Lonchura striata: one gene and its partner. The protein of the gene in region 1 purifies or fractionates together with the protein of each later gene. This does not show direct contact. Links are inferred from orthologs where the notes say so. Each region holds a gene or a part of one and is shown in the gene's direction. Other genes may lie near its edges.

What was found.
Region 2: the proteins of DLD (region 1) and DLST purify together in Homo sapiens (affinity purification with mass spectrometry; 3 studies listed by BioGRID and IntAct, counting the BioPlex papers as one, with this or other methods). This does not show direct contact. The link is inferred for Lonchura striata from reciprocal best matches to the Homo sapiens genes DLD and DLST.

What each region holds. Positions count from the first base shown.
Region 1 is NC_134607.1:59,081,852-59,089,543, reverse strand, and holds the start of DLD (dihydrolipoyl dehydrogenase, mitochondrial), read left to right. Parts: upstream 1-4,576; 5' UTR 4,577-4,635; coding exon 4,636-4,674; intron 4,675-5,540; coding exon 5,541-5,616; intron 5,617-6,307; coding exon 6,308-6,387; intron 6,388-7,692. UniProt on the Homo sapiens protein: Lipoamide dehydrogenase is a component of the glycine cleavage system as well as an E3 component of three alpha-ketoacid dehydrogenase complexes (pyruvate-, alpha-ketoglutarate-, and branched-chain amino acid-dehydrogenase complex).
Region 2 is NC_134608.1:23,259,507-23,267,523, reverse strand, and holds the start of DLST (dihydrolipoyllysine-residue succinyltransferase component of 2-oxoglutarate dehydrogenase complex, mitochondrial), read left to right. Parts: upstream 1-4,835; 5' UTR 4,836-4,869; coding exon 4,870-4,938; intron 4,939-8,017. Other genes in the region: PROX2 (prospero homeobox protein 2), read right to left, coding at 1-978, 4,679-4,744. UniProt on the Homo sapiens protein: Dihydrolipoamide succinyltransferase (E2) component of the 2-oxoglutarate dehydrogenase complex. The 2-oxoglutarate dehydrogenase complex catalyzes the overall conversion of 2-oxoglutarate to succinyl-CoA and CO(2).

The sequences.
Region 1 (7,692 bases):
GCTGGAATCCCAGGAGCCTGCTTTGCTTTGAGGGGACATTTCATGGGTACTCATGGAAAAAAAATGGAAGTGTAAACAGGTAGGGTAACCTCAGTGCTCAAGCAAGGAGTGCCACAACCAAAGCAAGGTGAGGTAGAGTCATGCCAGGAGGAAGGGAACCAAAAGTACTCAGGTGTCCATGGTTTACATGTACCACAGTTCTACAGGCAGTACACTGTCTTTATTACTCAGATATTTTTTTAATTTATTTTTCTTTTTTTTTTAATCTTTATTACTTATCTTTATTACTCAGAGATGTAAAACATCAAAAAAGAATTTTAACAATCTCTTAACTTCAGCAAGGTACCCAGGAAGGTTCATAATATTTTTCCTCCAAGGGACATGTAGTTAATGGGCAAGGCTGTTCAGAGGTGACTATTCAGGGCTGTGATGAATGGGATGGAGTGATCTAACCCTACATTCCCTGTGTGCCCTTTTGCCTTCCCACTGTCCCCATCCACTAAGATACACTGTAATGCTTCCTGAATTCCCCAGGCCCCCTACACCCTCTTGCCTGGGTGCTGAAGCAATAACCACACAAGCTGCCTTCCCTTTGGTGGCCACAGTAACCATCTGTACTGACCACAGGAGCTGGAGGCATCATTCAGAGCCACCAGTCATTTCTTCTTGCAGGAGATGATCCTGTTCACTGCTTGCAGTAAACACATTCTCATGGCATTCAGATTTGTGTCTGTAAAAACCTATAATTTCCCTAGAAATACTCATGTACTGTGCAGTGGGGTGAGCTCCAACATGCACCAAGGCTGGGAGGGCATGGAAAATTGAAACATGTTGGCTGAGTACTTTCAGTTAGCTACAGCTGGAGTTTTATTCTCTTGGTTTTTATTCTCTTTGGTTGGCTCATTAGTGAGGGTGGGAGGAAATGATGGGGACACTATACTATCCAGGGTAACTCTGGGATGCTTTCTCATTAGAATCACAGAATATTCTAAGTTGGAAGGAACCCACAAGGATCATCAAGTTCACCTTGAGTGAATGGCCAATACGGGGATCAAAAACAACTTCGGCATTATTAACAGCATGCTCTAACCGACAGGGGTTTAAATATAAAAATATTGGGCACATACAGTCTCCAGCATTGCTGAAGGGACGATCAGAGAAATCCTTATGGAAAAAGGTGGAAGAGGAGTTCTGTCTGCTGAACAGGGCCTTTTTCCCTGGCTGTGTGGGAAGTAGCAGAACACTGCCCTCTGATGGAAATACGTGTGCAAGAAATGAGTACATCCAGTTAACGTGAGAACTCCTTTTCAATTTCAGGCAAAGTGGGCAACCAACAGTATGATCTATATTGCATATCACTTACCTAAAGCCACATTTAGGTGTTTTTAGCTTAAATTGAACAGAATATTATGTATGTCCTAAATTGGGCAGAATTCACTATAGAAGGAAAATTATCCTGGCCCATTGTTGTTCTCCCACTGACAATGAAGGATTTAAGTTTTAAAATACTGATGTGCTAAAGTGCAAATAACAGAGGAATGTAGGGTGTTCAATGTATTATTCTAGAAGAAAATACAATCTATTTTTCAGAAGAAAATATAAGTTATGTAAAAATATACAGAGTATTAAATTAAACCATGTTAATTATAAAAATGTGTCAATATTCTAGTTCAATTCTTTTCTTGATTAAATAAATTGGAAGCAATTATTCCAATACACTTGAAAATATTTTTTAAATTTAATATTTTCGAATTTATATTTTTGAATGTTTTAAAAATTGAATTTATTTGCATTTCACAGTCATGGAATCACAGAACTGGTCAGATTGGAAGGCACCACAGTGGGTCATCTAGTCCAACCTCCCTGCTCAAGCAAGGTCATCCCATAGCAAATTGCACAAGATTGCATCCAGAAGGTTCTTGAATATCTCCAGTGAGGGAGACTCCAAAACCCCTTGGGCATTCTGTTACAGTGCTCAGTTACCTACACAGTAAAGATGTTCTTCTTCAGATTGAAGTGGAACTTTTTGTGCATCACTTTATTCCCATTGCCTCTGGTCCTATTGCTTGGCACCAGTGAGCCATTGCCTGGCTCCAATTCCCCTTTAGATATTTGCATACATTGATGAGGTCTTCTCTTAGTCACCCCTTCTTCAGGAGAATTTTCTTCTAGAGAATGTTCTAGCTCGAGAATATGTTCAAGAATATTCTAGTTCAATTTTTCATGATTAAATAAATTGAAAACAAATATTCAAAGTCCTTCCTAAATTACTGTAGATTTTACTTTTTTTTAATGTATAAAGATATATGGGCATTTCACCGTCAATTAGATGGAAGAGGTTTCTGTCTGAAACATGTAATTTCCCTTTCTCTGCTTGTGCCCAGGTGTCGTTCAGATGCAGTCAGTCTGGGACTGAGGGCTGCTTTGCTCACCCCAGGGTTCACTTTGGTGCCAGGTGGGTCAGTGAGCTCCCAAGTAGCAACACAGATCGGGGTGTGACCTACTTGAGAGCAGCTCTGCTGAGAAGGACCCGTGAGTTTTGGTAGGTGACAAGTTGATCATGAACTGGCAGTGTGGCCCTGTGGCCAGGATGACTCAATGGTATCCTGGGGTGCATCAGGAACACTGTAGCCAGCAGGCCCAGGGAAGTGGCAAAAGCCGGGACTTCTTATAATATGAGGGGGTGCTGGACGGGACAAACGCAGGTCAATCCAATATGGTTAAAGCTACGTTCTCCCTCTATTAGTGAGAAGATGGCAGTTTATATACACTTCCATATAGTTTACAGTTTACAAAGGCACTCTCATTGGCAAGCTAACATTGTTTACCTTTGCCTTAAGGCGGTCAGGCTTTTCACACTGCAGCTCTACCCTAATTCACGCTCTAATAGCTCATTACTTTGTAGTTACCTTAACATAATTTCTAACTGCTAGGCCCCACCAAGGCCGCTTATCAGGGGCCTAGTCTGAAGGGTAGCTCAGTTCTCACTCCAGACATAAATCGTGCCCTCTCTCTCTCAGAAATTCTGCAACAGGTGTCCCTCCTAGCGAGGCCACATCTGGAATGCAGGGTGCAGTGCTGGGCTCCTCAGTACAAGCAAAACAAGGAGCTGTTAGAGAGGGTCCAGTGGAAGCCACAAAGATGGTGATGGGACTGCAACACTTGTCCTAAGAGGAGAGGCTGAGGGAGCTGGGCTGGCTTAGTCAAGAGAAGACTGAAAGGGATGTCATCAATACATACAAATGGAAAGTTGAATATTAATTAGCAGTTCCCTGGCAGTCAGGAGGGCCAGCCATGTCCTGGAGGGCATCACCAGCTGGGAGGGGATTGTCCCACCCTGCTCTGCACTGGGCTGGTGTCACTTCAAATCCTGGGAATAGTTTTGGGCATCACAATATAAAAAAGACATTGAGTTATTAGAGGCTTCCCAAGGAAGTTGTGGGGATGGTGAAGGGTCTGAAGGAGAAGCCTTATGAGGAGAAGACTTATGCAGACTCATGATGTCACTTGATCTTTTCAGCCTGGAGGAGACTGAGACCACCTTATTGTGGTCTTGAGCATCCTTATGAGGGGAAGTAGACAGGTGTGAGATAAGTGGAAGATCATTTTGTTCACTGTGATATGCTCGCTTACCTTGGTTTGCATAAGAATGTACTGGTGTGTCTTTGAAATGCTTATTTGCTTACAAGGTGATAAGGAGGTTGAGATTAGAGTCCTAGGTGTGTGTATCTGGTCTGCTTGCTGTATCTCAAAAGAAGAGACTTAGAAGCTATCACAACGACCAGACTCAGACTACATCTGGAGAGTCACGCCTGCAAGGAGAAGGGGGGGGATAAAAGGAAGGTTGGGACAGAACATTTTTGCGCGCCGTTGGTGGAGCAGGAGACTCCCCGGCCGCCCAGCGCTGTGCTTTGCCTGCCTTACTCGCTTGCTATTTTCAATAAAATTGCTTTATTGGATTAAGACACTTCAAATTGCCGTGTCACAATTTATAACAGGTGGGTGCCAATCTCTTCATTCTCGTGATGAGTGGAAACATCATGAAGCTGAGTCAGGGGAGGTTTAGACTGGATATTTGAAAATGTTTCTTCACCCAGAGGGTGGCTGGGCACTGGAACAGGGTTCCCAGGGAAGTGGTCATAGCATCAGCCTGACAGAGTTATAGAAGAGTTTGAAAAATGCTCTCAGGCACAGGGTGTGACTCTTGGGGTGTCCTATGCAGGGCCAGGAGCTGGATCCTGATGGGCCCTTCCAACTTAGCATATTCTGTGATTCTCCGATTCTAGAAATATCTCAAAGATTGGTGCCAAGAGGATGTGCCAGATTCTTTTTAGTGGTGCCGGCAACAGGAAGAGGAGCAATGGCCATAAAGTGAAACACAAGAGAGGAGAGCTCCTTCCCGCCGAGGGTGGCACGGAACAGGCTGTCCAGGGCGGTGGCGGATTCTCTTTGGACACGTTCCAAACCCGCCTGGGCGCGCTCCCGCGGCACGGGCAGCAGGGCCAGGGCAGCGGGGCCGCGCCCCGCGCTCGCTCCCGGCGCTGAGGCCCGCGCCGCCCGGCCCCGCCCCGCGGCACTGCGCCTGCGCGCGTCCGCGGAGTCCTTGAGCGGCCGGGGCGCGGCGGCGGGGCCGACATGCAGCGCTGGGGCCGCGTCTCCTGCGCGCTCGCTCGGGTATGGCACCGGCGGGGCGGCGAGGCGAGGGCAAGGGAGGGGGTCAGGGACGGCAGCCGCGCCGAGCAGCTCGAGCCTGGGCTTTCCTCAGAGCCCTCAGCCCGCCGGGGGCGTGCGTGAGGCGGGCGGGGCCGGAGCGGCGCCTGAGGCGGGCGCGGGCCTTGGCCGCGCTCCCTCCCCGCTCCGCTGTCCCCTCGCCTCTCGGCCGGGCGGAGGGGGCGTGGCGGCCCCCAGGGTCCCGGAGCGGCAGGGACCGGCCTCCCGCTGTCGGTGCTCCTCCCGGTGTCCCGGCCCGCGGGAGGCCGCGGCCGTGCTGGCTGCAGAAAGCGCCGCCGGCAGCCGGCCCCGGCGTTGGGGCTGCGGTGCTGCGGACTTCGCAAATGCTTCCAGGGACATCCTCTACTCCAGTTACAGGGTGATCGGCCCTCGATGTGTTTGTAGCGCCTGCTCTGTGCTGTGCCATTACTTTTGCCCTCCTCAGCTTCCTATGAGATACAGCTGCCTTTTCATAGGAAGTGCCTGAAGGGGTTGCTTACAGAACAAGACTCTACATAAACTCCCGTGGATATCTAATTTACGTCATTATGTGGTTTGAGAGTTGGAAAGAGTTGAAAGTTTTGTAGTCAGAGGCAGCCTGAGGTGTGACTGACCTGAGAACAGGTGTGATGACAGACTGAGGTGGCAGAACAACTTCTGCCTCTTGTTCCAGTCAGTGCCCACTGTGCTTCAGTCCTGCTGTTCCTGTTTTGGTTAGCTGGTGACAGTAACTGTATGTTCACCTCTGTGTGGCTGAATGTTTATTTTCTCTGAAGAATAGACATAAACTTGTAAAACCAAGGGGTTCTTTTTATTTTTTTACCTTTTAGAGAAGCCATTTTGATCGAATTCATCATGGTCTTCAGGGAGTTTGTGCAGTACCACAAAGGTCCTATGCTGATCAAGGTAATTTCTTGTGAGAAACCTTTTTTGGACAAGAAAACCCCACCAACTCCCACAAAAAACAAAACAATACTTCAAACTTTGAAATCAGCCTTCGAGGTGAAATCCATGTCAGGATGGAGATTTAGACGAAAACTGGTTTATTTGCATAATGTGATTTCAAGGTAAAGCTGTAAATACAAGCTGAACTTCACCATCACTGTTCTTATTTTAATTAATGTTCTAAAAGAGATTGTGGTTACAAGATATGAGCTAGGTACAAAGTTCATAGCTGCCACTGCTTTATAATCAATAGCTTCCAGAGATACCTATTGCAGCTGTGTTTTCCCCTTTATAAATTTGTGGTATATAGTAAGCATTTATGTTTGGTGCTAAACATCGATAGAAGCTATGTTGGAAAAAATGTTACAGTGAACTATCAAGACAGCTTGAGTTAAGTTCTTAAAGGCTTTAGAGCAAGAGGGATGGGAAATTCAGTTTCTTGATGTCATTTTACATTATTTTCCTTGTGAAATTTAAGACTGCTTATTTTTCTTGTGGAATGAATACCTTTACACAACCTTTCCCTGTCCAGAAAGTTACTTTCACATATGAGGTGTAGCTTCTTTATCTAATCCTATTTCATTAACTTGCATAATTCTTAAGATGCAGTTATTTTCTGAAAAAACAGTAACTCGGCTGTTCTCTGTTTCAGTTGATGCTGATGTCACAGTTATTGGCTCTGGGCCTGGAGGATATGTTGCTGCTATCAAAGCAGCTCAGCTTGGGTTTAAGGTGAGACCTGACTCAGATAGCAGAATACTCATCCAGGTGAACTTGAAAGGTGTCTGTGTGATACTGTAATCCTTCTGTCACATCTTGGGCCACCAGATGGTGTAGACATCTTTGCTAATCTTTCCTTACCTTGCTTACCTGCATTATGCAGAATTTGAAATGGAGGTCTGACTATATTACTCTCTATAGCCCTGCTACTGACGGAGCTTACTTTTGGTTGGAACTGATAATTGATGTGAACTTATATTCTTGTGAAAGAGAAGGTGGCAAAACAGTGCTAAGAAGGAATTTTTCTCTCAACAAAGGGAAAAATAAGAAGATCATGACTGACAAAAAGACCAGTGGAAAACTATTCTGAAGAACAGACTGAGGGAACTCAGAAGGGGAAAAAGCCATATTCAACTGATAAGCTTTTTGACTGTGATTAGTGGAATTCTACTGCCATGTGAGAACTTTAGAGGCAAAAATATGTGTAGAAATACTATAGTATCTTAGTTACATTTATTTGTGTTCATCTCTGTTGTTCTGCCTGTTGTCTTTGAGCACCTTTCAGAAGAGGCAGTTGGTGTCTGATATGTACTAGTGGTGTGTCATTTAATTAAGTATTGTGAGAGTTGTATGTGTATAATATATTTAAAATCTTTTTAAACTTACAAAAATACAGAACGTGACTTCAGGATTTTTTTTTGCCTTCACTTTTTAATATGAGACCAACTGACACTCTTGGCACTGCATTCTTGTTCTTATAATTATCTGGAACTCTGAGAAGGTGGTGCTAGCAGTCTTGGGCATGTTTCTGCTGCTTGGTATGTCACAATGTTTCTGAATTACCTAAAATAGACTTCATGACAAGTTAGCTGGTTTGACCACCTGGTAAGGACAAGAACTCCTGGTGATGAGTTCCAGTGAAGCACAGGAATGGGGGGCCCATGCAACATGTAGTCTTCATCTTTCAGTATTTTCAGGGCTTGGCTGTACAAGGCCTTCAGCCACCTGATGCATCATAGAATCACAGAATGGTTTGGGTTGGAAGGAATGTTCAAGCTGGCCTTGTTCCAACTCCCCTGCCATGGACAGGGACACCTTCCACTAGACCATGTTACTCAGAGACCCTGAGCATTCAGGAGCACCTTCCACTAGACCATATTTCTCAGAGACCTTGAGCATTCAGGAGCTTCTTTGGGCAACCTATTCCTGTGCCTCACCACCCTCACAGTAAAGAATTCCTTCCTAAGAGCTGATCTAAATCTACGCCCTTCAGCTTAAAGCTGTTTCTGTCATTAAATGTCCTTGTGAAAAGTCCTT
Region 2 (8,017 bases), on another chromosome or scaffold:
GGCACTGTCCTTGTTCAGTCTGTCTTCATGCTTTCCAGGCAGTGGCTGCACTTTCTCTGAATCTTCCTGCGTTTGGGCAGCATTCTCAGAGTCACAGACTTGGTAGAACTTCTCCTGAAGCCACCTCAACTGCTGCTCTAAAAAGCAGAGCTGCTCTTTCAGCTGCTGGCAGCCTGTCGCATGGGAACTGCCCCCTGTGGGAGCCACTTGTCCAGCTGCCCCCATGCCCTGCTGGGGCATCCTTGGCTTCCTCTTGCTCTCCTGGGGCATCTCACCACCCCTTTCCCTCTCATGCCTAAAGGCTGCCTCCCGGCTCGTGTCAAATGCCTGCGGGGTTGGTGGGAGGCTCATGCCCTGGATGATGCTCTCCACCCTGGCCCGCTTGGCTCGTAAGTGCCGGTCACAGAGCTGCTCCCGTGGGTGCTGGTTGGAGAGCTGGTCCCCATCACCAGCACAGGGCATGGGAGCTGGGGCACAGCTCCTGGGGAAAGCCAGGGGTTGAGCTTCTTCTCCAGGACATGCACCACATTTGTAGCCATGAGGCAGGGCTGCTGCCTGAGAGGAAGTGAAAAGAATGGTGGGATCCAGGTTCCTGCCAACCATTGTATGGCTGAGCTGTGGTATCAGGGATGCACTGGGGGAAGGCAAGAGAGAATCAGTCTGGAAACAGGGCTCCAATTTCAGCTCCTGGCCATGCCCTGAAGTGGCACAGTCTCTATCCTGCGCAAAGCCAGTCCTGCTGTCCATCATATTTTCTTCCTGCCTGGACAGACTGGCAGATTTCCCAGGTGTTTGATGTTTCTGCCTGCTAGTGATATGGAACTGCAAAAAGAGCGAGAAACAGGACCTCATACAGCAGTTTCCCAAACACGGGGCCAGAGATTTTTTTTCTCCCAGATTTCCATGGCATCCATGCTCCCCTCCAAAAACTATTTCACCAGGGAATGACCAGGAAGAAACCTTCAGGTACTGCAAAACCTGTGGGCAGACTGTCAGATGTCACACAACAGCAGCAACACCCTGGGCACCACCACACCTCCCACCTACCAGCCAGGCATTCATCATGTCTGGAGTACATTTCACCTACTTTGAGCCTGGCAGTGCCTGGCAGTACAAACTTCCCCCATCACCAGCTGCATCTGCACCAGAGGCATTTGGGGAAACTGCCCTCTGGGCCTGTGGGCTCTGGCATGAGGGCAGGGAGCACCAGGCAGAGCCCTCTGCCACGTACACCTGGGCAAAGGGGTGGGTTTGGGTGCTGCTCCTGGGTGTTGGCAGAGCACAGAGGAGCGGCTGCATCCTTGGTGAAGACATTCACAGCACACAGCCAGCTAGGCCATGGGTCCTGCTGGCTTCTGACGGTCCCAACACTTGCCAGCAGAGCCCCCAAGCACGGGGATGGGTGGCAGCACTTAGGGGCTGGGCCAGCACAAACAGGCTGGAGAAGGAGGGCACAGAGAGGGTAAAAGTGCAATGTGACCTGCTGTGAGCAGGATGCATCGAGATGTTCAGGCTAATACAACATGGGCTTCCTAAGTGCTTGGCTAAACACTGAATAAAAGAAATGAGGATGGGGATTATCAGGGAAGAGAAAAAATACTGAGCCAGCAGCCCCAGGCTTAAAATTGTCATACTGGCTCCAAGTACAGATTCACCCCCTCTGCTCATTCCCCACTTGCACAGCTTTGCAAAAGAAGGTGTAAAATATTGTATCCTGGTCAATTGCACAGTAACTGTCCCTGTGGGATGTTTCTTCCTTATCCACCTTAATTAGCAGTAGCTTTGCACCACTTATTAGGACAGCTCTTGTCTTTTCCAGACACCTTTAAAGTCTGATATTCTTTTGCTATTCCCAGAAATGCCTCATCATTTTCAGCACCATCAGTCTCCTGTCCCTGTAACTGCTCTGTGCCAAGTCCTCCAGGCAGTGTAGAAAATGGGTTTCTTCTCAGGGGTTTTCAGCAGGTTGCCTTTCTTCAAACAACCATGAATTCCAGGCAGGTGCCTGGGAGAGCTCTACCTTTTGCAGAGCCATAGTCTTGACAAACCAAGTATTTTCTGGGTTATCTGACACCACATGTTGATCTGTGTTGTCTCCCCATCTGTCCTGACCACTGGGGTTTCATTTTCCTAAGAGTCTGCTGTAGAGTATTTCAAACTGCTCAGTTTATCCACAGGCAGCACAAGGCTGGGATGCCAGCAGCTCTCAACATCCTGCCTTGCCCTTGTGTTATAAATTTCACCATTGCCTGCAGCTGCCTCTGAGCCTGCCATCTGCACCCAACAAAGTCACACAGCAAACACATTACAGTTATAGATTCCATCCAACCTTAATCCTTTCCTCAATGGTGTGGTCCTGTAATCTCACTTGTTTTTCTATAGAAACACCTTCTTTTGACATTTGCTCACAATTTCTCTCTGTGTGTTGTGATGTGCTGTGCTCAACAGCAAAGTCAGGAGCTTACCTGTCCCCTGGGCTGGGGCTTCCCAGCCCCCTGGAACCTGGGTGATACACCCCTTTCAAGCAGATCGAGTCAGAGCTGGCAAGGTGACTTCTACTTGCTTAAGGTTTCCAGCACCACTGCCTTTTTTCTGGAGACTGGGAGGGAGGGAGCCGGGCGTGCTGTCCCAAGCCATGGCAGCCCGCTGTGCGTGGCCTTGGCTCCGGTCACAGCATCCCCGGCACCGCAGGACCAGGAGGCGCTGCCTAAGCGAACTGCGCCTGCTGATGCAGCTCTTTCCACACGGAGTTAGCAGGTGCGTGCTTTGGTTCCCACTCTTACTCACAGCTTTCACTTAGTGCCACCCTCCAGAACACTAAAAAGCAGCCGAGACTCCTCCTACCTGAAGAGAAAGACAGGAACGAAACGCAGATGCTGAGAAGACGAGGGCAGCGTGCCTTGTCCAGAACTGAAGCCACCCGTCATGGGCTCCCTGGGCGCTCCTGGGTGGGCCAGCAGCCCGGAGCAGCGAGAGCAGCGAGCTGTCCGTGCAGACGGCGATCCCCCGAGCCGTCCCCGCCGCCCATCCCCGGTGTGCCGCCGTGCCCGCGGTGCGCGGGGGCAGCGCCGGTCCGTCCTGGGGCCTTAAAGAGGGAGTGGGAGGCTGGAGGCAGCCAACCAGCTGGGAACGACTTCTGAATATGCAGATGGACACCCAGGAGCTGATGTCCGACGCCACCTTCCCTGCTGGCTCCCGCACTCATAGCCCCTGAGCCAGACAGGCAAGGGCTATCGGGCGCCGAGCTGCTGGCTACCCAGGTGGGCAGAGGCCCAGAGCAGCAATTTTCCCCTGGAATCTGGCCGGAAGCCCCATTCAGGATAGTGAAATGTTGGTGAGACATGCAAATACACCAGGCTGACAAGCAGTGCCACAAGCACAAGGAAGGAGCTGGCCCAGATCCCACCAGCTACCCATCTTCCATGGAAAGTGGCCAGGCATTTCCCACATCCCGCACTCTGGGGGCGCAGAGGCAATTTGGCTGTCCTGGAGGTCTGCAGCACAGGACACGGCCAAGAAATGGGACAACACAGGAAAAGCAGCAACACAGAGTCCCTCGCTTGTCGCAGGGTGCTTTACAGAGAGCCCAGCAGAGCTGGCATCACTCCCAGCTGAGCACGTCCTGACCCAGCCCCAGGACAAACCTACCTGCCCCAGCAGCACATGTGGCTGGCAGAAACTTCTCGTGCAGGAGCTGGGGTTGGGTGGGCAAAGTCTAGCCATGCATGCCACTCCTGGGGCTTTATCTGCTTTGCTTCCACATGCTAACTGAGCACAGCAGTGCTTAGTGTATTCACTGTGTAGGCAGGAGGCCGTGGTTAAAGGCAGTTGACATCAGGTGGTCAATATTGTTCAAGGATATTAGCCTTCAAAAGACAGATCATAGAGAAATCCCTGGCAGAGAGCCTTTCTGGCTCAGTTATCATTTATTAGAGCAGTCAGCTCATCCTCAAAGCCTCAGAGACTACCCCCTGTTGATTTTTATTCAACCTCTTTCCTTTGAAAATGATCTCATATTTCGAAGTTTGCAGTCAACCATTCATAAATTATTAAGCAGTGGCTAAATTAAGCACATGTGCATAACCCAGACTTGGCTCCTTGAGAGATACCTGGTGCCAGACAGCCCTTTATAACTATCCCAGGCTGATTCTCAGAATCTGTAAATGGGTTCCTTGGGTTTTCTTCCACCTGTGGTTCCCTGCCTGGGAGCAGGCAGAAAACAGAAGCTAGCTGGGGAATTCTCAAATGTTTTCAACATAGAGAGCACACCTGAGGAACAGGGCTTACTTGTGGACTCATTTTCCTGTTTGCCATGGTGAGATGACCTCATTGCCCGTTTCTAACCTTGTGGCATCCCACTGGGTGATGCTTGTGGCAACACCACCCCACACGAGAACAGTCCCATGGTTTGCCAAGGTGGGCAGGCAAACCACGGGTACGGCTGTCCCGCAGTGACCCAGAGCTGCTTCAAAGAACAGCGTCACAAAACGGCATTCTTCGTAATGCACAGGTTATTTATTACACATATACTATTACATATCGTAACATCGATATATCCATATACGTGGTTATATCAATATATGTAATGCATAGCTATTTCATATGCATGTGATCTATAAGTAATAGTATTTAATATATATCATACAGGACGCATTAACACCTGTATTATTACACACACGGTAACACACAGGAATATCGTGCGCAGAGCCTCGCCCCCGGCCCGGGCCCGGCCCCCGCCCGCCATGGTCCCGCCCCGGCCGCCCCCCCGTCCTGGGGCGGTTGGTCCGGCCCCCCGCGCTTCCGCCGCGCGCCGGGCCTGGTTCCGGTGTCCGCCCTGCGGCCCCTCCCGCCGCCGCCGCCGCCGCCGCGATGGTGCCGCTGTGGCGGTCCCGCTGCCTCGGCCGCGCGCTGGGCCGCTCGCTGCGCGCCCTCCGGCAGGTACGGCCCGCGGGCAGCGGCCGCGGGGAGCGGGCGGCGAGGGAGGGCGGCGGCCGTGCGGGCGAGGTCGGCGGCGCCAAGGGCACCGGGACGCGTCCCCTGCTGCCGGGCGCTCCGCACCGCCGCCCCGGGGCGCGGCAGGGCCGGGCACGGGAAGGGCCGGCGAGGCTGTCCCCCAGCGGGGGCCGCGGTGGCGCGGCGCTGCCCGTTCCCCGCGGGTGCCGCTGCCCCGCGGGCAGGCCCGGCCCCGCGGGAAGGGCGCGGCAGCGGCAGAGCCGGGCGGCGGGAAGGGCTGGCGGGAAGGGCTCGCGAACGGCGCCGCGCTCGGGCTCCGCCGGCCCGCCCGTCAGCGGCATCTGAGGCCTCGCTGCTGGCAGCCACCGGCCTGCGCTGGCAGAGACCCCCGGCCGGGGCGCGCCGCGCGGGACCGGCAACAACCGGCGTGCGGTTTGGTGTTTGAATCCTGTGCTCGGTTTTCAGGGCAGGCGGTGGTAGCCTCTGCTGGCTGCAGCGTGGGCTGACAGCGCCCAGCAGCTGCTTAACCCTGGGGCTGCCCTTGGCCAGCCGGGTCCTGTGTCCTGCTGCTCACACCTTCCATTTCAGCTTCATGTGCACACACATGTTTGTGCATACCTACGGCATGAGAAAGATCACTTCTCTTCCAGTGACCAGCTGGAGCCTTCCAGCATGAGACTTGGTTTTAGACATGCTGTAAATGTAGGCAAGCGTTGACAACCAGTTGTAATGTACCGACACCTTTGTGTGTATACATGTAAAACTGTGTTATGAACAACTTACAAGTAACTGTATAGTTACAGTTTGTTACAGATATATTAGAGAAAAATTGGTTATAATGCAGTTTAAACAAGCCTATTAAAGTGGCATTTTAGCAATATTTAACCTTTGTCAGCTCTCAGTGGTGTTGTGTAATTATAAAGAACGGGAAGAAGTCAGATGGAGTATTCAAACCTTTTACAAAACTAGTCTGAAAATCAGGAGGTTTTAGGCTGAATGCTAGTTAACCTGTTAGATATACTGAAAGAGTTATAGTAGAAGTTTGCTTTCCATTTGAACAGCAATATGGGAAGTAAATTTTTATTATGTAAAACAGGCTTTTTGGAGAGATAGAAAAAAATCCCAGAACTTGGCAAACCTCTGATGGCAGAAGTGAGAATGGTAGACATATACAAAATTCAGAAGTGGAGGATTGAACGGGGGAAGAGTGGAGTCAGTGAGGGTGAGGAAGGGTTGGCTGGGTTTTGGCTGTCTGTAAAAGAAGAAAAGGTTCTGAATTCATATTAAGTAGAAACCAGGAATGTGTATCAATAGCTTGTAGCACATAAGAGTTGGGGCAGGAGCAGGCAGACGTAGAAGGCTATGTGAAAAAGTCCAGAGAAGAGCTGGTCTGGAAAAGATAGATTTGATCAGGAGCTGCGTAAAGTGCTTTGAGAATCAAATCCTTCTGTTTATGGGCAGGAGTTCATAAAGAACTTTTTCTTCCCTGTTTGATCCTCCCCTCATGCTGGAGGAGTTCTGAGCCTGTTGTCTTAGTAACAGCGTCCACCACTCAGCATGATCTCCATCCCATCTTGGCACCTGCCCTCCCATGCTGTATATAATTGTTTTGATGCCCATGAAAGCCATGCAGTGGGGTTTTTGTGTGGAGCAGGAGTTTGTGCTCATCCTTGTTAGAGCAGCAGCTGCTTTGCTCTCAAGAAGCCATGGCTGGAGAACCAATTTCTGCTTTGCCTGTTGTTGGAGCTGCACAGCACTGGCCTTCTGGTTTGCCTCTGTTCACATGAGCTGCACTGTCACGTTCATCAGATTCCTTACCTGAACTGGTCCCTCGCTGTTGGTATACAGGCTGTCGCTTTAGCTGATGTATTCCATCCTTTGTTTCAGTGTGTAGTGACCTACTGGAAGGTGATGGCTCCATAAAGGTGTGGCCTGGGACCATGCATGCCAGGGTCACTTTGACGTAGTAACACTTATAAAAACGATTCTGAGAAGTCATGTGAAACAAGAGGGAAATATTAATCACTTGCTACATGAGTCACTGGCTAATTAGACCAAGATTTCTTTCCCCAAGTGAAGCCTGTCTTTTTAAACTGACCCAAAGTGCCAAAGCCACGTAGCAAAACTTAAATATTTCCATTCTCACTGAAAAAGCTCCAGTAGAAGGCAGAGGGCAGATTTAGCCAAGTGATCCAGGAAGAGGTGCAGTCAGAAAGATTCCTTCAGGGAAAAATGGAACAGGAAGCAGCCCTGTAAGCAGCCCTGTCCTGTGTCTCCTGAAGCTGCATGTTTATCTCAGAGGTACTGTGGTTAAGAGATAGGCACACAGCAGTTCTGCAGGATGTAATTCAGAAAAATCACAGTATCTTTTATTAGTGGCTTCCTCCTCACATTAAGCCCTTCCCCTAATTTCTTAACCTTAAAGGCAAAGGATAGAGTGATACCAATTTTTTCCTTAATTTTGCTACCAGATACCACTGGTGGAAGAGAGCTGCAGATGTATTTTCTCCCAGCAATTTATTTTAGGACAGACCTTCTAAATTTTCTTTTTTGTTTTATCTCCACAGTAAACTGGTCCTGAGCAAATAAAATTGTCTGGTTTTGCATCAGTCTGAGGCTGTTCCTTTCTTAACAATTTATTGTCTGGTGTTCTAGGAATGCCTTTAACCACTTTTTTTAATAAAGCACCCAGGGAAACATTAATGGATAGAGGGGAACTCAGGTTGCTTGATACTCAATTTGTGATTGACTCTATGCTATCTTGGACACTACAGAAAGTGAGAAAAATATGATCAATACAGAGTGCTGAGGATTGTGGTGCTCTAGAGAGCTGACCCAGTGGAGGGCTGACCCACTTAAGTTGGAGTTTGTCTTACTGATCCTGGCTTAGAGCTGGCTCTACACAAACCAGATCTGAGTTAGCAGGGACCAGTGCTGCACCAGGGTTAGTTATTGTTGCATTCCAGATGACTCTACAAAGTCTGCACAGTGCTTCCTGCTTTCCCCTACCCAGGCAGACGTGGGGCAGGGGCTCCAGCAGGCCCTGCCAGAAGCTGGTTTTGCA